Callithrix jacchus: one gene and its partners. The protein of the gene in region 1 interacts with the protein of each later gene in a pairwise test. Links are inferred from orthologs where the notes say so. Each region holds a gene or a part of one and is shown on either strand. Other genes may lie near its edges. The genes, in order: BNIPL, MIF and GFER.

The links.
Region 2: the proteins of BNIPL (region 1) and MIF interact in a two-hybrid assay, tested with the Homo sapiens proteins (2 studies listed by BioGRID and IntAct). The link is inferred for Callithrix jacchus from reciprocal best matches to the Homo sapiens genes BNIPL and MIF.
Region 3: the proteins of BNIPL (region 1) and GFER interact in a two-hybrid assay, tested with the Homo sapiens proteins (2 studies listed by BioGRID and IntAct). The link is inferred for Callithrix jacchus from reciprocal best matches to the Homo sapiens genes BNIPL and GFER.

Annotation. Positions count from the first base shown.
Region 1 is NC_133519.1:10,937,235-10,947,018, reverse strand, and holds the start of BNIPL (bcl-2/adenovirus E1B 19 kDa-interacting protein 2-like protein), read right to left. Parts: upstream 9,140-9,784; 5' UTR 9,045-9,139; coding exon 9,001-9,044; intron 7,888-9,000; coding exon 7,792-7,887; intron 6,673-7,791; coding exon 6,608-6,672; intron 6,059-6,607; coding exon 5,834-6,058; intron 2,327-5,833; coding exon 2,144-2,326; intron 1,650-2,143; coding exon 1,547-1,649; intron 1,377-1,546; coding exon 1,245-1,376; intron 1-1,244. UniProt on the Homo sapiens protein: May be a bridge molecule between BCL2 and ARHGAP1/CDC42 in promoting cell death.
Region 2 is NC_133502.1:192,624,861-192,633,854, reverse strand, and holds MIF (macrophage migration inhibitory factor), read left to right. Parts: upstream 1-4,172; 5' UTR 4,173-4,265; coding exon 4,266-4,373; intron 4,374-4,561; coding exon 4,562-4,734; intron 4,735-4,850; coding exon 4,851-4,917; 3' UTR 4,918-5,039; downstream 5,040-8,994.
Region 3 is NC_133513.1:4,758,505-4,769,044, reverse strand, and holds GFER (FAD-linked sulfhydryl oxidase ALR), read left to right. Parts: upstream 1-3,577; 5' UTR 3,578-3,595; coding exon 3,596-3,856; intron 3,857-4,112; coding exon 4,113-4,309; exon of another isoform or gene 4,310-5,187; coding exon 5,188-5,350; 3' UTR 5,351-6,000; downstream 6,001-10,540. Other genes in the region: NOXO1 (NADPH oxidase organizer 1), read right to left, coding at 465-626, 1,384-1,469; uncharacterized protein LOC144578555, read right to left, coding at 6,996-7,039, 8,007-8,056, 9,787-9,977; SYNGR3 (synaptogyrin-3), read left to right, coding at 9,046-9,144.

The DNA of each region.
Region 1 (9,784 bases):
AAGGGGGGTGGAAAAAAAAAAACCTGAAAAGAAAAAGAAGACATAGGGCCAGGCTCAGTGGCTCAGGCTTATAATCCCAGCACTTTGGGAGGCCAAGGCAGGCAATCGCCTGAGCTCAGGAGTTTAAGACTGGCCTGAGAAACATGGCAAAACCCTGTCTCTAACAGAAAAGGATAGAAAAATTAGCTAGGCGTGGTGGTGGTGCACACCTGTGGTCCAAGCTACTTGGGAGGCCAAGGTGGGAGGATGACTTGAGCCAGGGAGGCAGAGGTTGCAGTGAGCCAAGATCACGCCACTGCACTGCAGCCTGGGCAACAGAGGAGACACGTAGGTCAGTGACGAAGTCCGAGAAGAAGACAATGGAGGTGTGGAACAGGAAATAAATGGCAAGACTGAGAGAGAAGAGGAAGAGTGCTTTCTGTGTGCCAGGCAATATGCCACACTAATTTACTCGATTTTCACAAATACCCAGTGGCAAACGTATAATCATTGCCATTTTACAGATGAAGAAGCTGAAGCGGCCAGGGGCAGTGGCTCATGCCTGTAATCCCAGCACTTCGGGAGGTGGGCAGATTGCTTGAGATCAGGAGTTTGAGACAAGCCTGGGAAAAGTGGCAAAACTCCATCTCTACAAAAAATACAAAAGTTAGCCGGGCATGGTAGCCGATGCCTGTAGTCCCAGCTACTTGGGAGGCTTGAGGTGGGAGGATCACTTGAGCCTGGGAGGCAGAGGTGGCAATGAGCCGAGATTGTGCTGCTGTACTCCAGTCTGGATGACAGAGCCAGACCCTGTCTCAAAACACACACACACACACACACATGCACGCGCGCACACACACGCGCGTGCACACACACACGCATGCACACACACACAAAACAAAAAAGAAGCTGAAGCCCAGAGAGGTTAAGTGACTTGTCCAAAGCCAGACCCTGTCTCAAAACACACATACACACGCGCGCACACACACACGCACACACACGCATGCACACACAAAACAAAAAAGCTGAAGCCCAGAGATGTTAAGTGACTTGTCCAAAGCCAGACAGCTAGTAAATGGTAATGTGGATAATGGCAGGATTTGAAACTAAATCTCTGACTCCAAGAGAGGACAGAAAACAAAAAAGCTGGGAAAAGAACGTAGGATAAAGAAAACAGGAAGGGACTAAATGGAAGAAGAAAGAATGGAAAGGTGGGAAAAACAATGAGAGAGCGAGAGTTGTAGCCTTCTCGTCCCAGGTCTCACCGCCGATCCAGGGTGCGGTAACACTGGCGTATCCAGCTCAGAGGTGGAACTTGGGCCCTGCTTGTGCCTCCACTCAAATGAACAAGCAGGTAATTTTCAGCTACTAGCAGCTCCAGCGTTCCCACCATATACCTGGGCGGATGAAATTGCAGGGAAAATATGTGCTGAGAGTTGCAGGAGCGACAGGGAACGTTACTATAGACTCTCCAACTAGCTACTGATCTTTGAAGGAGTTCTTTTTCACTTCGGTGCCCCCCGCCCCGCTAACACGGCCCTGTAGCTCTTCAGGCCTCCCTCCTCACCTAAACAGGTGTTCCATGATGTAGGTGTAGTTGGGGACACTGCTTCTGGGTAGATAACAGGAAGCAAAAAGGATGACAGCATTGAGGCCATCACCGTGGTAACCTGGAGAGTGTAAGGCGAAAATTCATTTAGTCAACAAATATGTATTGACAGATAGTACATCTGTTTAAGTTGAGGGACTCTGAGGGTCTCTGGAAGCTACAGGATAGATTTTGGATCAATGACTGAGTCTCCAGCTTAGGCATTTTATTTAAGAAGCCATAGCTCGGCCGGGCCTGGTGGCTCACGCCTATAATCCCAGCACTTTGGGAGGCCAAGATGGGTGGATCATGAGGTCAAGACATCAAGACCATCCTGCTCAATATGGTGAAACCCCATCTCTACTAAAAATACAAAAAATTAGCTGGGCATGGTGGCGCATGCCTGTAGTCCCAGCTACTCAGGAGGCTGAGGCAGGAGAATTGCTTGAACCCAGGAGATGGAGGTTGCGGTGAGCCGAGATCCCGCTATTGCACTCCAGCCTGAGAAACAAGAGTGAAACTCTGTCTCAAAAAAAAAGCCATAGCTCTTACCCCTCTGTTTATGCTAGCCATTACCTCCATGAGACAGGACTTTCTTATAGGGTTCAATGACAGTCATGTCCACACGCTGCTCCCGTGGTCCCATTCGGAAAACCCTCCAGTGATGTCCATCTTCTCCAGCCACATCCCACATACAGCCTTGGCCCAGCCTTTCAGCTGCCTCACTGGCGCCCAGACCGTCTGCCCGGGGTAACTCATCTAAAAGAGAGGGTTGGGGAAGGATCAGCAAGGTAGATTTCCTGCCTTCAGTTTCTTGTAACTTCCTCAGATTCCTAGTTTGTTACTCTAATCTGTCACTCCTTGATTATTTCCTTGATTCATTTTTTTTTGTTTTTGAGATGGAGTCTCACTCTGTCACCCAGGTTGGAGTGCAGTGGCACAATCATGGCTCACTGCAACTTCTGCCTCCCAGGCTCAAGTGATCCTCCCACCTCAGCCTCCTGAGTAGCTGGAACCATAGGCACACGCTACCACGCTCCGCTAATGTTTTGGTAGAGACAGAGTTGTACCATGTTGCCCAGGCTGGTGTCAAATTCCTGAGCTCAAGCCATCTGTCCACCTCAGCCTCCCAAAGTGCTGGGATTACAGGCGTGAGCCACCATACTCGGCCTTTTCCTTGACTCTTTAGCCCTGTTTTGCCCAATCAGCCCAATATCTTGCTGGTTTCTTTCTCCTGTGACTCACTATCCTCACCTTTTCACTAGATGATGGACTTTGTTTCTTTTTGTTGCTGTTTTTTTCTGAGACAGAGTTTCACTGTTGTTACCCAGGCTGGTGTGCAATGGTGCGATCTCGGCTCACTGCAACCTCCGCCTCCTGGGTTCAGGCAATTCTCCTGCCTCAGCCTCCCGAGTAGCTGGGACTACAGGCGCGTGCCACCACGCCCAGCTAATTTTTGTATTTTTAGTAGAGACGGAGTTTGTTGACCAGGATGGTTTCGATCTCTTGACCTCGTGATCTACCTGCCTTGGCCTCCCAAAGTTCTGGGATTACAGGCGTGAGCCACTGCGCCCGGCCGATGATGGACTTTGGATGACCCTGCACTATGACCCTTAGCAGTATCAGGTATTTTTTGAGTCTTTTTTTATTTTTTTAAAGTTATGCCTTTTATTTCTAATAGTCTGGTTATTGTATGTATGTATGTATGTATGTATGTATGTATGTATGTATGTAGACAGTCTCCCTTTGTTGCCCAGGCTGGAGTGCAATGGTGAGATCTTGGCTCACTGCAACCTCCATCTCCCGGGTTCAAGCATTTCTCCTGCCTCAGCCTCCCGAGTAGCTGAGATTACAGGCAGCTGCCACCACGTCCAGCTAATTTGTGCATTTTTAGTAGAAATGGAGGTTCACCATGTTGGCCAGGCTGGTCTCAAACTCCTGGCCTCAGGTGATCTACCCGCCTTGGCCTTCCAAAGTGCTGGGATTACAGGCATGAGCCGCTGCACCTGGCCTTTTGAGATTCTTTCTTTAAATGATTTTCCCTAGATCAGTTCATCTAGTCCCATGTCTTTAATTCCACCAGTAAGGAAATGACTCCCAAATTTGCCTCTCTAACCCAGGCTTCTTTTTTTTTTCCTTTGAGGCAGTCTCACTCTTTTGCCCAGGCTGGAATACAGTGGTGCAATCTCAGCTCACTGCAACCTCCCCTTCCTGGGCTTAAGTGATTCTTCAGTCTCAGGTTTTTGTGAAGCTGGGACACAGGCACACACCACCATGCCCAGCTAATTTTTTTTTTTTTTTTTTAAACAGGGTTTCGCCATGCCACTCTGTTCTTGAATTCCTAAGCTCAAAGCAATCCACCTGCCTTGGCTTCCCAAAGTGCTGGGATTACAGGCAGGAGCCACTGTGCCCAGCCTCTAACCCCAGCTGCTGCCCTAACTCGAGCATCCCTAAATGCCCAGAGTGTATGTCTTCACTGTGTGTCTCCTTGTCATTAACAAGTCACCAGATCTAAAAGGGAACTCAAGGCTGTGCTCAGTGGCTCATGCCTGTAATCCCAGCACTTTGGGAAGCCAAGACAGAAGGATTGCTTGAAGCCAGGAGTTTGAGAACAGCCTGGGCGACAAAAATAATAAAATTGGCCGGGCGCGGTGGCTCAAGCCTGTAATCCCAGCACTTTGGGAGGCTGAGGCGGGTGGATCATAAGGTCAAGAGATCGAGACCATCATGGTCAACATGGTGAAACCCCATCTCTACTAAAACTATAAAAAATTAGCTGGGCATGGTGGTGAGTGCCTGTAATCCCAGCTACTCAGGAGGCTGAGGCAGGAGAATTGCCTGAACCCAGGAGGCGGAGGTTGTGGTGAGCCGAGATCGCGCCATTGCACTCCAGCCTGGGTAACAAGAGCGAAACTCCATCTCAAAAAAAAAAAGATAAAACCTAAACTCCTCAGCATGGCAGCAAGGGCTTCCATGGTTTGACCTTCGCCTACTTAACCCTAGCAAAAGATAGCAGCACTATCTTTTGTCATTCTCTCTTCACCTCCCAGCCCTTCATATTAAAATCGTCATGCTTCATACTTTGAATTCCCCAACATGCCATAGTATTGCTTTGTTTCTTCTGCTTCTTCTACTTAGAATGCCCTGTCTTCAACTACCTGATAACCACCAGCCTCAGCTTTCTTTTTTTTTTTTTTTTGGAGATGGAGTCTCGCTCTATCACCCAGGTTGGAGTGCAGTGATGTGATCTCGGCTCACTGCAACCTCCGCCTCCTGGGTTCAAGCAATTCTCCTGTCACAGCCTCCTGAGTAGCTGGGATTATAGGCGTGTGCCACAATGCCTGGCTAATTTTTGTATTTTCAGTAGAGATGGGGTTTCACCATGTTGGTCAGGCTGGTCTCAAACTCCTGACCTAGTGATCCACCCGCCTTGGCCTCCCAAAGTGCTGGGGTTACAGGAGTGAGCCACCATGCCTGGCCAGCTTCAGCTTTCAACACTCAGCTCAGAATCACCTCCTTCACAAAGCCTTTCCTAACATCTCTCAGGCAGAAGTGACCTTTTCCTTCTCCCTGCCTACACTGTACCCTATACATATATAGATCATAACCTTTAACTGCAATTATTTGTATATATGTTTATTTCCTACTAAGCAGATAATTCCCTGTAGGGCCTCTCTTATTCATCTTTATAACCCCAGTCCTATACATGATAGTATATAGCAGGCATTCAATTAAATTTTCCTTAATAAACCAAGGGCTCCCCTCTCCTTCTATGACTACTCTCACTTTGGACCTATAAGCCCTACTCTTTCATTTGAGGAAACTAATTTTGCTGACGGTAGCTCTTGGTCCCCACCTTTTTTTTTTTTTTTTGAGACAGAGTTTCACTCCGTCACCAGGTGCCAGGCTGGAGTGTAGTGGCACGATCTCAGCTCACTGCAACCTCCGCTTCCTGGGTTCAAGCAATTCTCCTGCCTCAGCCTCCCAAGTAGCTGGGATTACAGGCACGTGCCACCATGCCCAGCTAATTTTTGTATTTTTAGTAGAGACGGGGTTTCACCATGTTGGCCAGGATGGTCTTGATCTGTTGACCTCCTGATCCGCCTGCCTCTGCCTCCCAAAGTGCTGGGATTACAGGCGTGAGCCACCGCGCCCGGTGCTCTCCCCACTTGATTAGTTCTAACTGCAGTCCCATTAAGTCCATCCTGATCCTTTAGTGCTAGCCTCTACTTCTACCAGCTCTGGGTCCTCTGGTTTGCTTCCCACCTTCCCATTCAAATTCATGTCCACTGTCCAGCTGCTCCGAGTCTGAAGGTGTCTCTAATTCGTCTACTTCCAGGTCAGAACTCCCATCAGGAGAGGAAGGTGCAGATTGGGTGGGCGAAACTCCATCATTTCCAGGCCCCTTAGTCAGACTCAGTCGCAACTCTGGGGCAGAAAGACGCTTCCGCATGGGGCGCTGGCCACACAGGGCTAAAGTGAGGGGGGTACCTGCGGTTGGAGAAAGGAGGAAAAAGAGGACCCAGATGGACGTGTGTGTTGGGGGCCAAGAGGGCTAGAATTCTTTGTATGTGACAGTGATAATAGGGGGTGAACTCTGAAGATGGACACAGGGGACATTTGGGAAAGGGAGAAACGGAACTGTAAGGGGACAGAGGTGGCACAGGCCTTCACTGGACTAGAATCAAGTACTTGAGGCCGGGTGCGGTGGCTCATGCCTGTAATCCCAGCACTTTAGGAGTCCGAGGCGGGTGGATCATGAGGTCAAGAGATTGAGACCACTCTGACCAACATGATGAAACCCCGTCTCTACTAAAAAAATACAAAAAAAATTAGCCAGGCATGGTGGTCCGTGCCTGTAGTCCCAGCTACTCCGGAGGCTGAGGCAGGAGAATTACTTGAAACCGGAAAACGGAAGTTGCAGTGAGCTGGGATTGTGCCATTGCACTCCAGCCTGGCGATAGAGCGAGACTGTCTCAAAAATAAAAAAAGAAAGAAAAAAGAAAAAAGAACTTGAGGCCTGGTTTCTATTTGACCTACCTGCCTGTGAGTCTCCTTTAGGCTCTTCAGGATCTTCAGAAGGTCCAACCTCCTCAGGAAGCAATCTAGAGGGAAAGAGATTAAAAGGGGGCAGAGATATACACCAAAGGCATCAAGCTGGGACTCAGTATATAGTTTCTCTCTCCTGGCCATGATTTTACCACATCTGCTTTCTTTTTTTATTGTTTTTGAGATAGGGTCTCACTCTTTGCCCAGGCTAGAATGCAGTGGCACAATCATGGCTCACTGCAGCCTCTACCTCCAGGGCTCTAGTGATCCTCCCACCTCAGCCTCCCAAGTAGCTGGGACTACAGGCGTGCACTACCATGCCTGGCTAAATTTTGTATTTTGGTAGAGATGGGTTTTTGCCATGTTGCCCAGAGTAGTCTTGAACTTCTGAGCTCAAGTGATCCACCTGCCTTGGCCTCCCAAAATGCTGGGATTATAGGCATGAGCCACTATGCCTGGCCTGTTTTCCTTTTTAGAATTTTTTTACTTCAAGTCCTAATTCACCATCCTTGCATCCATTTGTTTGTTTTTTTGTGCGTTTGGTTTTGTTGTTGTTTTTTTTTTTTGAGACGGAGTTTCGCTCTAGTTACCCAGGCTGGAGTGCAATGGCGCAATCTCGGCTCACTGCAACCTCCGCCTCCTGGGTTCAGGCAATTCTCCTGCCTCGGCCTCCTGAGTAGCTGGGATTACAGGCATGCGCCACCATGCCCAGCTAATTTTTTGTATTTTTAGTAGAGGCGGGGTTTCACCATGTTGACCAGGATGGTCTCGATCTCTTGACTTCGTGATCCACCTGCCTCAGCCTCCCAAAGTGCTGGGATTACAGGCGTGAGCCACCACGCCTGGGCTGGTTTTGTTGTTTTTGAGACAGAGTTTCACTCTTGTTGCACAGGTTGGAGTACAATGGTGCAATCTCAGCTCACTGCAACCTCTGCCTCCCGAGTTCAAGCAATCCTCCTGCCTCAGCCTCCAAAGAAGCTGGGACAACAGGCATGCGCCACCACGCCTGGCTAATTTTGTATTTTTAGTAGAGATGGGATTTCATCATGTTGGTCAGCCTTGTCTCAAACTCCTGACCTCAGGTGATCCACCCGCCTCGGCCTCCCAAACTGCTGGGATTACAGGCGTGAGCTGCCCATCCCTTCCTTCTCCCAGCCGCCCTCACACGATCTCACCTAGGGAATTCTTCATCCTGCCATTCCTCCTTCAGCTCCAATTCCCCACGTCTCAGGGCTGCTCCTAGTTCTGCTGCTTCTCCACTCTCCCTGACCCTAAGACAGACCCCCAAGAAGAAAAGAGTAAGGGAACTGAAAGTAGGTAAGAAGAATTGGAATGATGAAGAACAGTAATTGAGACAGAGAGCAGAGAGTAGGCCTTCAAAGGCACTCAGATCTCTTGCCTCCTACAAAGGTATTTCTTTCACTGTCACCACTTACTAGATTGCCTACTGATGGGTTTGGGAGCAGAGGGCGGATGGAATATAAAGTTAGTCATATTTACCTCTACAGAACTTGCTCCACCTATGAAGTGGGGGTGAGAGATGTCCCACATTACAATTGGCTGGAACCCAGCTACACCCACCCAACTATCACTGAGCAAAGTTGGGCAAGACGGCAGCTAGTCAGGCCTGCCTTTCCTCCACCGTGCTGGGGTGTGGCTAAGGGAAAACACAGCCTAGGTGGAGGTGTGGGGAAAAAAGGTAAGAAGAAAGATGTGCCGGGAACGAGACCCTGGACCTAAAGTCAGTTCTGGTTCAGCTTTCCTGATGGTCATTCTGGAGGGTGAGGGTTAGAGAATAAAGAACACAGGCAGATTTATCAGATACAACATGTTACAGAAACTTCCTTTATTTTATTTTTGTTTTTTATTTTTTTTGAGACGGAGTTTCGCTGTTGTTACGCAGGCTGGAGCGCAATGGCGCGATCTCCGCTCACTGCAACCTCTGCCTTCTGGGTTCAGGCAATTCTCCTGCCTCAGCCTCCTGAGCAGCTGGGACTACAGGCGTGCGCCACCATGCCCAGCTAATTTTTTTATTTTTAGTAGAGATGGGGTTTCACCATGTTGACCAGGATGGTCTCGATCTGTTGACCTCGTGATCCACCCGCCTCGGCCTCCCAAAGTGCTGGGATTACAGGCTTGAGCCACCACTCCCGGCCACTTCCTTTATTTTTAAACCAGGGATTTATCCTGGATTCCCCTGTTCCCTATTTCCACACCATCCTGACATTTCCTACCTAAAACCACCCTCATCCCTTCTCTGCAAATTCTCTAAGAGTCTTGTCTCCTTGAGGAACCTGAGATTTGACCCAGTAAGAGCTGGGTGGTGAGAGTCTCTGAGGACTGTTTATTCTGTTTCTAATCAAGTGAGCCAAGATCTTACTTACCCAACATCTAAGGTCTTTTTTCCTGCCTCTTGTATGGTTCCCATCTTCACAGGTCTTCCTGTCTTCTTCTTTAAACACCTGAAAGTTGTTGGGGAGCTGGGTATCCCAGCCCCCAAGACTTCTTTACCTTTTTTGTGTCAGCTGAGGTAGTTCCGGCCTCCAAGGAGGGAGGTGTGGAAGGGAGGTAACCTCATCTTCAAACAGGTTTTGCCACCTCCTCTCCCAAGGAGCAGGTTTGCCCAAAAGAAAAACGCTCCCTCCTGTGAGGGGGCGGGCTTTGGGGAGGAGAGTGCATTTTCTTTTTGTTTTTTTTTTTTTTTTGAGACAGAGTTTCGCTCTTGTTACCCAGGCTGGAGTGCAATGGCACGATCTCGGCTCACCGCAACCTCCGCCTCCTAGGTTCGGGCAATTCTCCTGCCTCAGCCTCCTGAGTAGCTGGGATTACAGGCGCGTGCCACCATGCCCAGCTAATTTTTTGTATTTTTAGTAGAGACGGGGTTTCACCATGTTGAGCAGGATGGTCTCGATCTCTTGACCTCGTGATCCACCTGCCTCAGCCTCCAAAAGTGCTGGGATTACAGGCATGAGCCACCGTGCCCGGCCTGAGAGTGCATTTTCTAGGGGGAGCAGTCTTGGTGAGTCTAGGAAAGCAATTTGTTCTCTTTTTCAGACTCCTTATACCCTTCTCGAAGTTGCTCTTTACACAAACAAACAAGCAAAAAGCCAGGAGAAATCACTGTGTTCCTAAGACTGTTATCTCGGGCCTACTTTTCAAGCACAAGCA
Region 2 (8,994 bases), on another chromosome or scaffold:
GCATTTTGATAACCAAAAATACACTACACCAACTCCGTCTGTTAAAAAAAATGTAACCCTGTCTTTTTTGGGATGAAAATTTCATAGAATATAAATATGGCAACATGCCTCTAGATAAACCATTGGCAGAGTTCTGATTTAAATACTGCATTCCCTTAATGCTCAACTTAAAATGAAGCATACAGCAACAGAATACACTAAGTATAATGCTTCTAAGAGAGCTCATTAGGAGATCTATACCATTAAAATATTAGTAAGGTATATTTCCATTGATTTAATATATTCCTAGAGTACAGCCACAAGAGATGCATACATTAATGGCTGTCATAAAAATGTAAACATGGACACATCTGCATACATCTCTCCTTTTATAGTTCCTTACCCTTCTGTCAACTATATAGACAATAGTGAGGAATAAAATGCACACAAAACAATGGCTAGAATATGAAAATGTCTTCTAAATATGACCAGTCTAGCATAGAACCTTCTCCTCCTTCTCAGCTCTTTCAGCTCATGTCATCTAATCAACTCAGCAAACGTAGATGTATCACTTCCAGAGCCATCTAACAACTCTGAATTTCCAAAAGCCATCTCCAGAAGACATGTATTTTCTATGATTTCTTTTAAACAAATGAGAATCTACAAGATGTGTGGTTTTCTAACTCTACTTTATCATACGTCGGCAACCTCTTTACATCTAGAAGGGCTAGATGTGACAAATGTTTTCTATTAAAATGTTGGCATGCAGTTGAGAGCAACTTTTTCATCTTATATACACAAGCCTTCCATAAATGGCCAGTGAATCTTCCCAGAGGGTGGTGGGCATTTGCAACGGGCCAAACGTGGCCTGTCATTCTGCTGTTTCTCTCTTCGGACAGAAAGGTCTGGTAGAATGAAGACTCACCGCCCCCCCACCCATGGCTGCTAACCATTCCACCTGTCGACGTTCAGAACTTCGCTTACCTCCCAGGCCTGTTAAGGCCTTTGTCTGTTGTCACGACTAGGTAGGTCTCGCCCAGTGAAGACAGAGTGGTCACTGGGGACCCGGATCTGCATGGCTCTGTGGCCTAAAGAGGCGGCCAAGCCTGCCTGCATCCTTAGGCCACCTTCCCAGGCCCTCTACTACCTAACAGCCTCCACTGTGCAGCATTCGAGCGGCCACCGTGTTTCCTGGCTCGCCACTCCTGCCGCCACCCAAAGGCGTTGCATCCTGGCAGCTCAGCTGGGACTTCGTAGAGGCCAAGCATACTTGGGCTGGGAGACCCAATGGCCAGCAGGGTCCAGGCTGGGGTATGGGCTGGGAGAAGCCGCCACCACCATCAGTCACCGAAGACGGGTGGGGTAGAGAGGCTTGCCACAGCTTCAAGGCCTGGGCCTGGCAAAGCCAGTGGGCACCCACAGTGGAGGCCTCCAGTGTCTGAAGGGCAGAGGATACTGCCTGTCCCGGGACCCCCCAGCTCACCCACCAGCCAGGGGCCGGAGGACCTGGAGGGCCCAGGGTGAGCTCGCTGTGCACTACATCTCCCCGCACTCTCTGCGGAACTGGAACTCCCATATTCATTTCCTTTCAAATCATCCTAGCAGGTGTATATTGGCATCTACTTGTGCTTTTCATTTGCATTTCCCTAATGACTAATCATGCTGAGCAGCTTTTCCTGTGCGATTGTCTGTGTGTGTATCTTCCTTAGGGAAATATATGTTCAAGTCTTTTGCCCATTTTTAAGGAGTTGTCTGATTTTTATTTAGTTTGTTGTAGATTTGGGGAGTTTTAAAATATATTCTAAATTTTAGTCTCTTACAAGATAAATGATTTGTGAATATTTCCCCCATCTGAAATTTAGATGGGCCTTGAGTCATATAAGTCATAAAAAGGTAGGAGTGGGGGCGATCTGGAAATTCCTGTTATAATCTTTTTAAGGGAATCTACTGGAAACACTTCATATTTTAAATAGAACCATCCCTTACTTAGCACTAGAATATCAAGCCTTCAGAGTCTTGCTCTGTCACCCAGGCTGGAGTGCAGTGGTGCAATCTCAGCTCACTGCAACCTCTGCCTCCCAGGTTCACGTGATTCTCCTGCCTCAGCCTCCTGAGTAGCTGGGATTACAGGTGAGCACCACCACGCCTGGCTAATTTTGTATTTTTAGTAGAGACAGGGTTTTTCCATACTGATCTCAAATTCCTGACCTCGTGATCCACCTGCCTTGGCCTCCCAAATGCTGGGATTACAGGTGTGAGCCACCGCGCCTGCTGCCATTCATTGTTTAACAGAACTTAACATTGTTTAACAGAATATAATTCAAATATCATAAATGTCACCCACATACAGTGTACAATTCAATGGTTTCTAATATATTCACAGAGGTCTGCAAAAATTACAATTTTAGACATTAATATCATTTATTAACATTCTTATATGCATACAGATGTAGATATGATTTTAATATAATCTTGAATATTATAGTATTTAATAATGTACTTTAATATCTCTTTATATTGCTGTTCTATTTTATTATTCTGAATGATGATGATCTTCATGTACCTTTACATAGGTTTAAAATAAACCTCTTACAACTCAAGAAATTTGTTTCTAGTAAATCACATAAAAAACACATATGCTATTGTTATAAAAATTCAAATACTGCTTAGGTCTATAGAATGAAATGTGTCGCCACCAGCTCCCAGCCCACTCATCCACATGCACTTACCGAAAGACATGCCCATATTTTTACATAATGTAATTCCGCTTTGTGTGTTGTTCCGACTGGCTTTCCCATATAAAATATAATTTGGTGGTCATTGCTTATCAGTACATACAGGTCTCTTTCTGATCTATAGCTGCATCATTATTCAACATTATTACCAAAATTTGGTCACTTTTTCACTGTGTAATTTTAATGTTGGATTCAGTTATTTGTTATCGTTACCCACACTGAACCTGGTCTGGACCTCACTTCCCTCCCTTTGGTGACTCCCAGCATCCTCACCCTCTTTGAAGAGCAGGAGTTCAGGTTAAGTTCCCTGAATGGTGACTCGCAGGGGCAGCTCTCCTCTCACCTGCAGCAATGACTACCCCTCCCCATCTCAAACACACAAGCTCAGGCGTGCGGGACTGGAGCCCTTGGGGACGTGTGGCCGGAAGATTCAGGACGTACAGGGCTCAGGGCGTGCAGTGGAATGAACTGGGCTTCATCTCTGGAAGGGGAAGGGGAAGGGGCCATCTTCCGGGTTCACCGCCGCATCCCCACCCCTGGCACAGCGCCTCCTGGCGACTAACATCGGTGACTTATTGAAAGTGTGATATAGCTAGCCTAGAGTTAGAACTTGTACACTGCCAGTTTATAAAGGACAAAACTGTTTCCATTCTCCTCACAATGACTGCTAGCCATGGCCTCTGTAAACTGCTAAGTTTACTTTGCAAAATGTAAAGAGAGGTAAAGTTGCATACTTTCTCTTATCTGTAACTGCCAGAATTGCTGGCCTCTGTTTACCGGTACTAACCAGAGTAAGCACCCCCAGATAATTCCATCCTGGCGCCAAGCAACTGAAAAATCTGTGGACCCCACACCTGTCCAAATAATGTATAAACTAATGTTTATCTTAACTTCTGTAAACCTCTTAAGCGGCAATCGGAATGACAAAAGTCCCCTGGCCCTTGGAATGTCCAGAGCCCCCTCACCCTAGTCTAAGCCTAGGAGGTGATTGACAGCTGTCATTCCCATCTCCACTCCTCACCCCCACTCCCAAGGTGGTTTTGCGGGTATAAAAAGATCTTGTCACCCTTCTTTCTCTGCCAAGGGTTGGAGAGACGTGAGTCCTCCGTGGTCGCCGGCAATAAACCCTGCAATTTGGCATACTTTTGTCTTGGTGTTGACTTTTTGTGCTCAGTCGGATACAACAAAAGTACTAAGAAAGACCAGAGGCCAGGCTGGGAGAAGCCGATTTCGAGCCGCCACGTGGAGATCCGCTAGGGACGATGAGCCCGGCCTAGCGGTAGTCGCTGGAAGAGCCGTCGGAGTCGCTCACGGTTAGGTCCCGCAGGGCGGAGCTGAGGCAGGCGGTGACGTCTCCACTCGGGGCGGAGCCGAGGTAGGCGGTGACGTCTCCACTCGGGGCGGAGCCGCAGCTTCGCTGGGAGGAGGCCTGGCGCCGGCGGTGACGTCCCAAAAGGCGGAACCGTATCCGAGAATTCAGGCACGTAGCTCAGCGCGGCAGCGGTGCTTGCGTCTGTGTCCCTGCGCGAATCTCCTGGTCTCTCTGCCATCATGCCGATGTTCATCGTAAACACCAACGTGCCCCGGGCTTCTGTGCCGGACGGGTTCCTCTCCGAGCTCACCCAACAGCTGGCGCAGGCCACCGGCAAGCCGCCCCAGGTTAGTTGGGAGGGTACGGGAAGAGGGGGTGCCCACTGCACGAGGGGGTCCTGCACTGGGGGCTGGGGAGGCGAATCCCGAAGGGGGCTGCGGGACAGGGCGGGAGGAAGAGGTGGCTAGGGCCCAAAGTGGACGCCAGAGGCCTGGCGAGGTAGCTGAGGCTCGCTGACCGCGCCCCTCCTCCGCAGTACATCGCAGTGCACGTGGTCCCGGACCAGCTCATGGCCTTTGGCGGTTCCAGCGATCCGTGCGCGCTCTGCAGCCTGCACAGCATAGGCAAGATTGGCGGCGCGCAGAACCGCTCCTACAGCAAGTTGCTGTGTGGCCTGCTGGCCGAGCGCCTGCGCATCAGCCCGGACAGGTATGCTGGGGCGCGGAGGGGCCGCGGCGCGAGGGGCCAGTGGTGGTGGGGGTGGCGGCGGTGGTGCCGGGCCGGGGACTGAGCCGCCCGCTGAGTCTCGCCTCCTCCCCCTGCAGGGTCTACATCAACTATTACGACATGAACGCCTCAAACGTGGGCTGGAACAACTCGACCTTCGCCTAAGAGCCGCGCCCCGCCTCTCCCCGCGCTGTCTGCACTGGCCCAACCCGGGAACCCACCTCACCCTGTATTCTAGGCCCGCCCGCCTCCACCTTCTGGTGGGGAGAAATAAACGGTTAGAGAAAGTTTCTGCTGTTACGGTGGCTACATATTCACTCATGGAGGCATGACAGGGACATCTCACTTCCTCAGAGGCACGATTAATCCAAGGAATGCCGTGGGAGGGGAGGAGAGAGCAGGTGGCCTGTGCCTCCACTCAGGTCTTGAGAGAAGCAGGGTAGTCAGACTCCACTCACCTCCGCCTCCCAAAGTGCCAGGATTACAGGCGTGTGCAGCGGCGCCCAAACGTAACGGAAGGCTTTACAGATGTGTCTGGCAAACACGAATGGTCCCAGTGGAAACCCCACGCCTGATTTCCTCAGGGAACTGTTGTGGTGAGGCTTGGGTGGCTGAGGGGAACAGAACCTAGGCTCAGGGTTTGGGATGGACAGAACCTTATAACAAATAACTGCACCTCCCCACCCACCTGCCTGCAGACTCTCCTTACATTCCCTAAAACAGCTGTTTGCAGTGAGTGGCTCTGGGTGGGAGAATCTTTCTGTCCTCTGGCTACCTTTTGCCCACCAAGAAGGCTGAGGAAGGTGGGGCTGAAAGAAAGGTCTAGGCCTAGGACCTCAGACTCCTTCCCAACTCCAACTCCTCCTCCCCCTTTTCCAGCCTCCCCTCTGGCACCCCATGTGCTGACCCCTAGGTAGAAGGGATTCAACTGTGGGTTCCCGCCCAGAGTCGTGAATCTACCTCAGGCAGCAAAGTGCCTTAGGTACTGAGTCTGCAGCCCAGGGCAGGGTGCCAATTTCTCCTCATCTCTTCATACCCCAGAATGTGGAAACACACTGGGGCTTCCCTGTTGGGAGGTAGGAGGGACAGGCTGGACAAAAGGGCTATGAACCCAGCCCTGACCCCCACCCCCAACACCATTCCAGCCTGGCTCCCTGGTGTCCCAGCCCTGCACCAATTCCTCCCGAACACCAAGGAACCCTGAGGCACTCCTGAAACCTACAAAATGAGGTTCAAGGTCGGCTAGGCTGTCCATCCGTTGGAAACAGTGGCCCTGAGGGCAGTGAGGGTCACCCGTAAGGCAGGAGTCTTTATCAGCAGATGACACAGTGCCACCAGAGTGATGGAGAGCAAGGCCGAATTATAGGCCCCACACCTGTCTGTCCCACACCTTGAGGTTTTAAGTGTAACTTAGAAACACATTTACAAGGCTGACCCTGCAGGTCCCGGGGCAGTCAAATGGTGTAAAGAAGAGACCCCCCACCTGGTGGGTGGTGGAGCCCATGCTTCAGGCTTGAGGTTTCCTTCTGGGATGGAAGAACTGTGGTGTAAGAGGCACATTCTTCGGCCCTGGTCTTTGTCACATCCCCTGAGCTCCTGGGTCCCCCCAGCGCCAGCCTCCAAAGGCCTGAGGCTGAGTTTTGCCCAAGACCCACAGGTTCCCCCCACAACAACCTTTTTCCTCCCCTTCGGGCCCCACACCCCACCAAGCCTTAGCTGGTCCCCCAACCCCTACCCCACCTCAACAGTCTTCAGCTGTGCTGCCCATAGGGAGAGCAGGGGCATGGGGCCCCATGAGCATCTGGTCCAACTCCTTCATTTCACAGATGAGGACACTGACCCCAGGGTCCAGGGCATGGTCGTACACTCAATGTCATGACCCCTACAAGGGCCCTGTGGCCTCATATGAGCAAGTTGGAGTCTCTGAGGGCCAAAGAGTTGGGCAGGGCAGGCTGGGCACCTGCTGTGTGAGGGCAGGAGAGTTGGTGGGAGATCTGCCCTCCAAAAACTGGTGAGTGTCTGAGGTTCTGTGGCCCCCTAGGGGCATCCACGAGGTCGTGGCTCCTTGGACTTCAAGGACAAAGGGGATATCTATGTGGGTCAGGGGCCTACGTATCCACTCACCCTGCCCAAAGCGTTTCCAAGTCCCCTGGGGCTTACAACCGGCCTGCCTGCTGGAGAGGGCAGCTGCTGCATCCCACACCTGCCCCCATTGACCCCCATCCCATGGCCAGCCTTGATGGCAGTGGATATGGCGGTAGGGAAAGAGACAATGAGGAAGTGTGGTCAAGTATCTACTTAGAAGTCTCCAGATGGAGCCGGGAAGTGCTAGGAGGCCAGTGAGGCTGGTGTGTGCAGCCATCAAGCCGTATTTGGCCCCTGGTGGGATGCAACTGAAATGCGTTCCCAGTGAACCACTCCCCCCGAGCCCCACACTGAAGGGCTGGCTCTAACCACTAACAGGAGCTAGCAGGGCAGGCAATGGGACAACCCTATTGCCTCTAATGCAGTAGATTAAATTAACACAGGGCCAACCTTCATATCAGAGTGGTTTTCCAGTTACCTGGGAGAGATCAGCTGATCACTGGAGCTTGGGAGATTTCCAGGATTTCTGGGCCACTGACACTGTGTTTCCGTAAAGCCCTCTTCTGCCGTCTCAGTCCCTTTCCAGGCTGAGCAGTGGCAAAGCCAAGTCTTAGTCCTCTGGGCCCGGGCCTCCCTGCATGATTTCCAAGACTAATGTGGGGGACAATGTCAACCCACCAACCAACTGCCTAGATTTCCCCTCCTGGCGAGTGAGGCCAAGCCATTTCATTTCTGTGATTGAAGCCCATGTAAAAGAGACATAGATTGTCAGTTCCAGAAACTGACTCTGTCCCTTCAGCCCGGAACCTCAGCCCTCATCTGGTGACCATGGGGTCTGGACTCACAGTTTAGCCCCCAAAACAGCCAGATAGGGCACCAAACTGAAAGGTTACAAATGAGACGCCTCATCCTCCATGTCCCTCAGTGACTTGGCTTCTTGTGTACCTAGCTCTCTTCTCAGTTTAATAGGTAACAGATTTACATGGCTCAAATTTGAAGCATGCCGAAAGGCTCCAGAGAGAAGGCTCTGTCCTGTGGCCTCCCTCCACAGGATAATCTTCTCTCAAATTCACCAGATCACTGCCTTCAGACTTGGTGACAATTTCATCATGGTTGCTTTCTTACCCTCCCCGAATTCCTTCCCAAGCATAGCTATCTCCCTTCCACTGCTACATAACCTTCCCATTGCAGTCGGTCAGGGAGATGGTTTCAAGACATCACACATTCTCCTTGGCTGCAGCACCCAAAAAAGCCTCTTTCCTGCAGTGATTGGCTTTGCAGCAAGCACTGGGACCTAGACCAAACCCCTGGGTGCTGCCCAACTGTCCCATCCCTCTAGACCGTGCCAGACACTGGCCCAGACAGGGGGCTGTGGAACAGATTACCCCTGGCTCTCTAAATTTGTTTTCTCAAAAAGAAAGAAGGCAATAATGTCTTATAAAAATAGGTGAATAACTTTAAGCCTGTAAATCCCAACCATCTGTAAGAGCACCCCATCTTACAGAAAAGCATGAGTGAGAGCTACGTGCTGAAAAGAGTCTGGAAAGGACTGTTTCCAAGAAGAGTCCCTCATAGCATGATAGGATGAGTCCTTAGTGAACTGCCAGCCAAAACAGAAAACACAGTACCAAAAAAGAATCCCTGTACCGCCATATCAGAGTATTGAGAGGGCACGTCTCTTATGTTGACAGTAAGGATCATCGTGATGACTATTAGTGAATAAAAAGCCAGAAGAAGACATGAAGGACAAGAACTTACACATTTAACATTTTGGCACAGGTCAAGTAACTACAATAGCCTATATACCAGACAGACAAGACAAAATATATTTAGAATACGTGTGAAAAGTATTGATGCAGAAATGGACATTTCTCAGAATAAGACATGACTTTACAGATACCATACAGAATATATGATCTCATGCAGACACAGGAGATGTGGTGGGGATTGCGGGTGAGCAATAGAAGATAAATTTCCTGGCTGGGTGCAGTGGCTCATGTCTGTAATCCCAGCACTTTGGGTGGCCAAGGCCAGGAGTTCAAGACCAGCCTGAGCAACATAGTGAAACCCTAGTCTATACAAAAATTTTTTTTTAAAGTTTCTTGTACCTAGAAATGAATCCAAGATGTACTCTAAAGAGAACGTCTACAGACAAAA
Region 3 (10,540 bases), on another chromosome or scaffold:
CCCACCTCTCTGGATTCCCCCACCTTGCAAGGTACTTGGCCTGGTATGACCTTCTGCCAGCGTGTGCCCAACAACTGTCTTAGAACTGGCCCGGGGATTTCTGTGCAGAACCGAGGACTCAGTGCTCAAGGCTTTAAGTGCTCTGTCTGGCTTAATCCTAATGCTGGAGGAAAGGCCTCTTCATGTCCCCAGCTCACAGAGGAGGAAATGTGAGCTAAATGTATAATTATTGTGAGTTTTTCTGTATATGTTGGGGGAGGGGCAGACCTCACAGGCTCACCCCAGGGGTTCCCCTGCAGTGAGGAGACTTGGGGTAAGAGAAAGACGGCCCATGTGTATAGTCCCTGGCACTTGAGGGGTGAGGGGTGGTCAGGGAAGTGGTCACCAGGACTGTTTTGAGAGCCACCTCTCAAACAGACCTCCTGCAAACACCGCCTAGTCAGAGGCTTGCCCAGGTGCCACACCTCTCTGGCTGCTTCCTTATAGCTTCAGAAGCCACATTCAACCTCGGTACACAGTGGTTCTTCCTGGTGCTGGAGTCACCAGTTCTGTGTTGGGATGCCCCCACTCCAGCCCCTTCAGGGAGCGGTCGGCCTCTGGGGCATCCCTGCAGCAATCTGCCTTGGCTGCAACAAAGGGCCTTTGTGTGTGTGTCACCAGCACTCTCTGAGGCCCTCCAGTTGTCCCTGGTCTTGGCACGGACTAAGAACACCTGCTCACATAGGGCTGATTTGCAGGGCTCCCCCAGCCAGCTCTCATCTCCTCCCTATCTCAGCTGAGGGCCCCAAGGACCTGGCGGTGAATCAACCCAGGGCAGACTTTGCTCTCCTGGAAGACAGTAGAGAAGCTAGGGAGAATTTATTCACAAGCAGTGGCCTAGAGGAATTCTGAGGCCCCTCCACACCCCAGCTGACACAGCCTGCCCCACACCGCATCGGCCCTGGATCCTTCCCGCTTTTTTTTTTTTTTTTTTTGAGACGGAGTTTCGCTCTTGTTACCCAGGCTGGAGTGCAATGGCGCGATCTCGGCTCACTGCAACCTCCGCCTCCTGGGTTCAGGCAATTCTCCTGCCTCAGCCTCCTGAGTAGCTGGGATTACAGGCACGCGCCACCATGCCCAGCTAATTTTTTGTATTTTTAGTGGAGACGGGGTTTCACCATGTTGACCAGGATGGTCTCGATCTCTTGACCTTGTGATCCACCCGCCTCGGCCTCCCAAAGTGCTGGGATTACAGGCTTGAGCCACCGCGCCCGGCCCCTTCCCGCTTTTTCCTCTCCTACCCTCTTTTCTTACCGGAATGGTACAACCACCCCACCCTCCATCCATATCCTCCTCACTTGTTCCCACAAAATCCACCCCAAGGTCGGGTTTGGTGCCTCTCACCTGTAATCCAAGCACTTTAGGAATCCAAGGCGGGGGAACTGCTTGAGCTCAGGAGACCAGTCTGGGCAACATGGTGAGACCTCCATCTGTACCAAAAAATATATACAAAAATTAGCTGGGTGTGGTGGCACGTGCCAGTAGTCCCAGCTATTTGGGGAGTTGAGGTGGGAAGATCACGAGCCTAAGCAGTCGAGACTGTAGTGAACCATGATTGTGCCATTGCACTCCAGCCTGGGGAACAGAGCAGGACCCTACCAGAAGAAAGAAAAGAGAAAGAAGGAAGGAAGGGGGAAGGAAAGAAAGAAGGGAAGGAAGGAAAAGAAAAGAGAAAAATCCACTCTCTGTAAGAAAGAAAGAAATCTAAAGAAATGCACTCCTTGTATAATAGCCAGAGGAATTTTCAGCAAACTGAAATGGGATCGGATTGGGTGGCCTTGCCCAAAACTGACTGGCATCTTCCCCTCCCTTGGAATAAATTCCCAATCCCCGCAGCTGCTGACCAGGTCCTTGATGGGCCCACTGGCCTTTTTTGTTCCTGCAAAACGCCAAGACCCTGCCACCTTGAGCTTGGTCTTTTTTTTTTTTTTTTTGAGACGGAGTTTCGCTCGTTACCCAGGCTGAAGTGCAATGGCGTGACCTCGGCTCACCGCAAACTCCGCCTTCTGGGTTCAAGCAATTCTCCTGCCTCAGCCTCCCGAGTAGCTGGGACGACAGGCGTGCGCCACCAGGCCCAGCTAATGAGCTTGGTCTTAAAGGCGCTCCTCAGCTGATTCCTCATCCTTCAGGCCTCTGCCCAAGGGTCACCACCTCAAGGAGGCCTTCCAGATTTACCCCACCCTTGCACGGCCCCACCAGTTTGTACGGGAACATTCACGAGCGTGACTCGTTTTCCCCCCCCGCCCCCCCATCTTGACCACTGAATTATGAACAGAGGAGATCAGGCAGCAGAGCTCTGTTCCCTGCACTGCCCAGCGCCTGGAACAGCGCCTGGAGCAGAGAGGCCACTGCACAAATAATAGCGTAAAGGACGAATGAAAGCAAGGAGGCAGAGGAATCCCAGAGGTGGCTCCAACTGGGAGCCCGACCCCTCATTCGGGCCGTGGGACCGGCGGCAGCTGGGGGCGCGCCGAGAGCCAGAGGCTCTCAAACCCTCGGCAGCCGCGCCCCGTCCCGCGTTGCCAGGCGCCCGTTGCCATGGCGCCGGGGCGAGGCCGCGAGCCCAGCACTCTGTGCGGTCACGCCGGCCCCGCATTGCCAGGGTTCCCAGCACCCGGCGGGTGGACGCGCCCCTCAGCGGAGGGCACAGCGTGGCCGCGGACACGCAGGACGCTCAGAACGGAGCGATGGGGGCGTCGCGGGTCGCGACACGTACTTCGTCTGGGCCTCAGCCCAGGTCCACAGCATGGCCGCGGCGCACCTTCCGCCACACTCTGCTGTTCTACCCGAGGAGGCGAGAGCGCCGCCACGGACTGCGCAAACCCGCCGCGGGTCGCGGAGCGCCCGGATGCTCCAGCTCCGTCCCCTCCCAGGTCGGCGCCGCGGTCTGTGGCTCCGCCTCCACCCGGGTCCGCTGGCCGGCCCCCGCCCCCAGCCCTCGCTCAGGCCCGGCCCCCGCCTCCGACCCCGCCCCCAGCCCTCGTTCGGGCCCGGCCCCCGCCTCCGACTCCGCCCCCAGCCCTCGCTCAGGCCCGGCCCCCGCCTCCGACCCCGCCCCCAGCCCTCGCTCAGGCCCGGCCCCCGCCTCCGACTCCGCCCCCAGCCCTCGCTCGGGCCCGGCCCCCGCCCCCAGCCCTCGCTCGGGCCCGGCCCCCGCCTCCGACTCCGCCCCAGCCCTCGCTCAGGCCCGGCCCCCGCCTCCGACTCCGCCCCCAGCCCTCGCTCGGGCCCGGCCCCCGCCTCCGACCCCGCCCCCAGCCCTCGCTCAGGCCCGGCCCCCGCCTCCGACCCCGCCCCCAGCCCTCGCTCGGGCCCGGCCCCCGCCTCCGACCCCGCCCCCAGCCCTCGCTCGGGCCCGGCCCCCGCCTCCGACCCCGCCCCCAGCCCTCGCTCGGGCCCGGCCCCCGCCTCCGACTCCGCCCCCAGCCCTCGCTCGGGCCCGGCCCCCTCGAGCACGGCGCGCGCCTCCCGCTGGTATTTTCGCACGCTGGCCTGGAGGCCGACCTGGAGGCTCATCTGGAGGCCGAGCTAGCCCGGCAGACCTTGCGCGGGCAACATGGCGGCGCCCGGCGAGCGGGGCCGCTTCTATAGCGGGAACTACTTCTTCTTGCCCGGTGGCGCGCGCTCCGAAGTGATAGACGACCTGGCTACCGACGCACGGGGCCGGGGAGCGGGGCGGAGAGACGCGGCTGAGAGGTCAGCCCCGACGCCAGCCCAGGCGCCGACCTCCGAGTCTCAGGTCACCGAGGACGTCTCCCGGAGGCGGCCTTGCCGGGCCTGCGTGGACTTCAAGACGTGGATGCGGACGCAGCAGAAGGTGCAGATCCCTGCCCGACCTCCCCCAACCCCGCGCAGCCCCCGCCCAGGTGCCCCGGCAGAGCTCCCCAGGGTTGCCTTTCCCTGAACCTTGTCCCCCAGTTAGGTCCGGCCCTACAGGCATCATCTGCGTTTGGGCTGGATCGTCTGCAGGACGCTGGCCGGAGTCCACTGGGCCACCGGCTGGGCCGTGCAAGGGGGGAGCTTTGGGCGCTTCTGTTCGGAGAATGAACTCACTCTCGGTCGGCCTTCCGCAGCAGGACAGCAAATTTAGGGAGGACTGCCCGCCGGATCGCGAGGAACTGGGCCGCCACAGCTGGGCTGTCCTCCACACCCTGGCCGCCTACTACCCCGACCTGCCCACCCCAGAACAGCAGCAAGACATGGCCCAGTTCATACATTTATTTTCCAAGTTTTATCCCTGTGAGGAGTGTGCTGAAGACCTAAGGAAAAGGTAAGATGCGTTGGCAGGCATCAGAGCTTTACCCTGGAGCCTGGGCCTGGGGCTCCTGACTGACGCTATACCGGGGAACCTAGAGAAACCTGCAGAGGTGGCAGAAGCTTGCTGGGGAGCAGGGACCACCAACAGGTGAGGACAGAGGCTATCTGAGCCTCCTCCTCTTGTCTGAGGCCAAGCTGCCAGGATTTGCTGCTGGGAACTGCTCTCCCACGGCCACAGGTCTCCCAGGAAGGGCCTCCCTGCCTTGTTTGGCACCAAAGGCAGCTCCCCGCAGGTTAGGGAGGACTCCACTTTGCCTGACTTCTAGACTGCTGTTTTAAAATCTTGGAAACCCACTACTTTTGCTCCCAAGAGCCACCTCTTCCTCACTGAGGCATCCAAGAGCCAGAACTGGCCCTTGCAGGTGTTTCTAGGCCAGATGTGTGGGGCAGAGCTGCCATTGTAGCTTTCAGCCTGGGCAGTCAGAATGAGGTCTCTTGCTGACTGAGGCATCAGAGCCTCAGGTCCTAAGAATCAAGTCCAGTTTTCAGTTACAAGGCTGTGTCCAGCCCCACCCAGTTCACACTCTGCCTGGGGCCAGGGACACTAGATGCCGCCTCCTGGGTGTTAGGAGCTTGTAAAATTGCTAGGTCTGTGCTGTAATATTTTTCTTTGAGGCCCTGTCGGTGTTTCAGCAGCCCTGGGAATTTGCCACACCCAAGGAGCTGAAGGGTCAGGCCTGTTGTGGGAATTCCCATCCCTTGGAGCATGAGGGCACTCCGAGGTGAAGCCCAGAGCAGTGGCCCAGCTCTCCGTCCTTGGGAGCAGACAGAGCTGGCAGGGGTAGTGGAGCCGCTGCGTCCTCCCATTCTTCACATGCTCTCCCTACGCAGGCTGTGCAGGAACCAGCCAGACACCCGCACCCGGGCATGCTTCACGCAGTGGCTGTGCCACCTGCACAATGAGGTGAACCGCAAGCTGGGCAAGCCTGACTTTGACTGCTCAAAAGTGGATGAGCGCTGGCGTGACGGCTGGAAGGATGGCTCCTGTGACTAGAGGCTGGTCAGCCAGAGCCCATGGGACAGCCAGCCAGTGCCCTTGCAGTAGCCTGGCTGCATAGGGGCAGGGCACTCATTAAAGTGCATCAGGCTCAGAGCCTGTTATGTCTCAGTTGAGTGGTCCCAGGACACTGCCCGGGGGGCCCTGCCCCTCTCAGGTTTGGAACAGAGAGGCACCCACAGCAGGCACCTGCTGGCCGCCTCTTCAGTAGAGCCCCCAAGGAGCAGCAGCTGAACTGCAGGTGAGCGAGGCCGGAGGAGCCTGGGCTGCTCCTTGCCATTCAGGATGTGGCTTCCTGCTCTCCCCATGCCCTGGTGCCTCACTTCTCACACAGGAAGACTGGGCCTGGCTGGGCGACCCCATGCCTGTCCCTGGAGCCCAGGCCATTGCCTACCCACTGTGCAGCCAGGGATGCCCGCAGGCCCCTGCCCCCCATGGCTCTGTGCTGCTCACTTCATGGGCTGAACTCTCCACTGTGCTCAGTCCCTACAGGAAAGCTCAGGTGGGGTTTGTCTGAGGGTCCACCATCCTGCCCACTCCCTGCCTGGCTCATGCCTGCCAGCGTTGTGCCATGCCTGTCCACAGGGGATTTGTGCTGTCCCCTTCTTCAAAGTTTGAGGTCCAAATAAAACATTGAAGTGACTGAGGACCTTGGCTTTGTGTGCTTTGTGCTAGGGCCTGTAGCAGTGCACGGGGCCTGCTCTGTCCTTCTGTGTTCAGCTGCATTTCCTGCTGGGGTCCTGGTTCCTCAGGAGGAAAGGGAGGAACCCCAAGGTGAGAGAGGGCCGGGAACAGCAAGGACGCTGGTTGGTTGGGGAAGTGGGGGCCAGAATCAATGATACGGGGGTTCGAGGAGTACAGGGAGGCCAGACAGCATGAGGCCTCCCAGGCCCCAGAAAGGCCATGGCTTTTACCCCCAGCTCTTGTGACAGTAGGTTCTTGGCGGGTTTGGAGCCAGGGTATGGCAGGAAGTGATGTGGCTTTGAAGGGTCCTCTGGCTGCTGAGCTGGGATGAGGCAGGCAAGGGTGGAGCAGGGAGGCTGGCGAGGAAGCTGGAGCAATCACTGAGTGACCCCAGAGAGCAGACTTACCTCATGTTGGGGCTGACGTGGGGTCCACCGAGGGGAGAGTCTGAGAATGCTCAGGTGAGGATGGAGTCCTCAGAGACTGCTGGGCACAGCTGTGTGTGCTGGAGACAGAAAAGGCTATGAGTGCAGTGAGTAGGGGGTGACGGGGACCAGCTTTTGGGCCTCCCCAGCCAGAGCAGCCCAGCAACAGTGTCTCTTGTGGCTTAAAGCTCTAGGGACCTCTATCCTGAGGCCTGTGTGGAGGGAGCTGCCATATCACCCACCAGATTGGTCCTGCGGGGTTGCTGGCTTCTGTAGAGACTGCCCCGGGGGCCAAGTGGCACAAATGAGAGAAAGGAGATGGGGCTCTGCCAGGAGAGAAAGTGCCCTTTCCTCACCCAGACTCAGTGCTTCTCTCTGGCCTTTTTCGAGGCCTATGAGTGCCTCAGGAACAAGCCGGGTCCTCTGGTGAGGCTGTGGTCAGCTCAGGAACGCACTGCCTGTATCTGCTGTCCTTCCTAGCTGCCTTACTTTTCCCCTGTCTTTCTTGAAGTTTCACTCCCAAATAAAACTCTTCACTTTGACTCAGAGGCTGTTGAGGGCATCCAGGCCAGTGGAACTGAAATTCAAGGAAAGGTTCTAGCTCAAGCTAGTGTTCCAGAGCTGTTGACACACAGACCAGAAGAGTCAGCACAGAGGGAGGAGAGACCCCCCCCCAACCACCACCAGGGTCAAGCCCTGGGCTCCTAAGGCTCACAGGTTACAGAGGAGAGGCCCATGAGGTAGGAGGAGCACCAGGAGGGAGGAGGATCTCCAGGTGGGGTGCAATGGCTCACATCTGTAATCCCAGCACTTTGGAAAGCCAAGGTGGGCAGGTCACTTAAGGTCAGGAGTTAGAGCACAGCCTGGCAAAACCAAAATTAAAAATATTTTTTAAAATTAGCCAGGCACGGTGGCATGCCTGTAATCCCAGCCACTCCAGAGGCTGAGGCAGAAGCATCACTTGAGCCTCTGAGGCAAAGGTTGTGCAGTCTTGAGCCAAGATTGAGCCACTGCACTCCAGCCTGGGTGACAGTGCAACTCTGTCTCAAAAGAAAAACTGAGCTGACAGCAGCATCAGACTTGCCCTTGGGATTGGCACGGAGAGGTCAGTGGCAGCCTTGAGTTTAGGTGGTGGTGGGAGCTGATTCTGCCGGGTCTCAGAGGGAGAGAGGAGGGGTGGTGCAGGCAGAGAATAGAAGACTCAAGCTTGCTGCTCATAACTGCGGGCAGCTGGAGGGGAGGGAGGTGGGGTCAATAGTGTGGCTTTTTAGGAGAAAGTGTAGCATGTCTGCGTGCTGATGTAAAAAGGAAAATGAATGACAGAGGGGAGGCCTGGGGCCAGTGGGTGAGACAGTCGGGATCAGACGCACAGTAGATGGATTTGAAATCCAGTGAGTGGCGCCTCTGGCAACAGCTGCTCTGCCCGACTGTGCCCAGCCTGACTGAAGAAAGAGCTCCACACCAGAACCAATGGGCTCCAGGGGGGCTGGGCAAGGCGGCACCATGTACACCAGGTTGTCGTAGCAGGCAGGTGGGCTGTTTACCTGTCTGAAGAACAGGGTGGTAACAGACTCTGCCTCCACAGGTGACGCACCTGGTGGTGTAAATGCTCAGTCAGTGCAGACATCTCAATGCTCTAGACAGAAACCTAAGAGTCATCTGAACTTCCAGCCCAGCAGGAACATGAGGGGAGGGACCCTGTTGCACCCAGGGCTGGGGTCTGGAGGGGACCCAGCAGGGCACAGGACAGCCAGGCACTGACCCCATCCAACTGCTGGTCTCTGATGCCTCTCCCTGCCCTCGATTCCAGACTAGGTGCTGCAAGTGCCCTAGGGAGACCCAGAAGTAGGGAGGGCATTGGGAGCGCCAGCACCTGGCCACGGGCAAGGAGCAGACACATAAAAACCAACACTCTCATTGGCGATGGCCACGGTGGTCCTCCTCATCCCTCAACAGGTGCTCCTGGGGTGGAGGCCTTTCTTGCCACCAGACTCTCCCAGCCCAAGGCTAGAACCTGCTGAAGGACCAGCTAGAGCACTGTGGGGGGCCATGGGAAAGATCCCAGTTGCCCATCTGGTCTTCCTGGGACCAGGGCCAGGGAGCCAGTCCCCTCTCCCGACGGTTGGGAGAAGATGCTGGAGCCCGTGGACCTCCTACTCCTTCATTTTCTCACCCAAGGGCCCTTCGCAGAGGAGCGGGTTCCTTTTCCTGTCTGTCCTCCCGGCTATGGCAAAGTCTGCACCCAGCGCCCTTGCCCCCTTACTCCGGGGATCTGGTTGGCGGGTTCCTGAGGATGGTCTCAATCTCAAGATCCCGGCAGGCAGGTGCCGGTGGGGGATGGGAGGTGGGCGCGGCGGAGAGAGAGGACGGCCCTGGCCCCGCGCGCGTGGACCCAGTGAGGGGCACGGGCTCGGCCCCGCCCCGTCCCGCGCGCCCCCGCAACTGCCGGCGCGCGCTCCCGGGAGGCGGCGACGGCTGCAGCGTCGGTAGCATCAGCATCCGCGGCAGTGGCCTCGGGCGGGGCTGGACGGACGGACAGGCGGACAGAGGGCGCCGGGGGCGCGCATCCCGCCCGGGCCGGCCATGGAGGGCGCCTCCTTCGGTGCGGGCCGTGCGGGGGCCGCCCTGGACCCCGTGAGCTTTGCGCGGCGGCCCCAGACACTGCTCCGGGTCGCGTCCTGGGTGAGTGGCCCCTGCGCGGGCCCCCGCCCCTGCCTCGCGACCCTCATGCCCCTAGCCGCCCCCTGACCCCTGCTTCTCGCCCCCAACCTCTCTCTCATCCTTGCCGGCCCCTCCCAGCCGGCCTCAGGTTGGGGTGACGTCACCGGGCAGGGCGCGCCCACCTGCGGGCGGGGGAGGGGCCGGCGGCGACGGAGAGGGACCTTGAGAGGTCACCGCCGGTGGCCCCTACCCCTGCCTCCTCCCCGGGTCTAATTCCAGTCCCTTTCCGCAGCCCTTACTCCGTTTTTCCTGTTCTCGTGACCTGGAAGCAGGCTCTGGGTGGGGACGGGATTCACCGAGGGGCAGAAGGAGGGGGCTACGGGAACCGAGAGAGATGGGGCAGCGCCTCCCCTTTACCCTGCACGCACACCCTCCGGGCTCCTTGGCAGGGAGCCTGTCCCTTGGCCCTCAGGTCCAGCTGTGAGTTGAGGGAGGAGAGGTTTGGGCTAGGAGGGCTTCATGTCGGCGGTGGTGTGGGAGGCAGGTATGGGGCAGCCTAGCCCACTGGGGTGTCTCTGGGAGGGCCCTGTTGCCCCTTCCTGCCCTCTGGCAGGGGAGGTAGCAAGTAGGTGGCGGAGCTCTGGGTTTTGTCCAGGTGGTGACCTCGGCGCGTATCCTGGATGAGGGCGGTGCCCACGGTGAGGCAGGGGGCTTTGGTCTCCCCTTCGGAGTGGCTCTGACCAGACCGGGAGGCAGGGCGCTGCGTTCCAGTATGAGCTCATGTCCCGACTTGTGGCCCACTCCTGGGGGACAAGTGCATGTCCTGGCTTCCTCCTCGCCTTGGTCTCTCGGAGCTGGAGCGGGAAAAGATCGAAGGGATGAGGTTGAGGCTGGAATTCTTTTCTTGGAAACACAGGGCTGCCCCCTACAGCGCTGGTTAAAATGACTGCCTTCCCCACCCCTCCGCTGCCTGCCTCCCGGGACTGGTCTGCAGGAGGCACTGAGGTTTGACTGAATCCCAGAGGTCAACGGTGTCATCCTTTCAGCCCAAACACTTAGGGGCGTTATTAATAATCAGTCACGTGGGGACCGTCATGACTCAGGTGCCCACCACGTGCAGAAAACTGGGTGGACGTCTCTGTCCCAGAACTCCAGTTTTGTCCGTCACCCTATTTGCATTGCTAGAAAAAGGCCAGACAGCTCGCAACCGCGCAGGGAGCAACAGCCCCGCTGCCCCCATGCCCTCCTCCCGCCCCGCTCTGCCCGCTCCACTCCTACCTCCAGTTTGCCCTGCCGGCGCCAGCCTGGGAATCATGGGCCCAGGTGAAGGCTCCTGTTCCCACACTCTTGGGTGGGCTCTGAGGGGACATCACGGGCCCATGCGGTGCCCCGGCTTTTGTCACCCTTGCATTCCCGG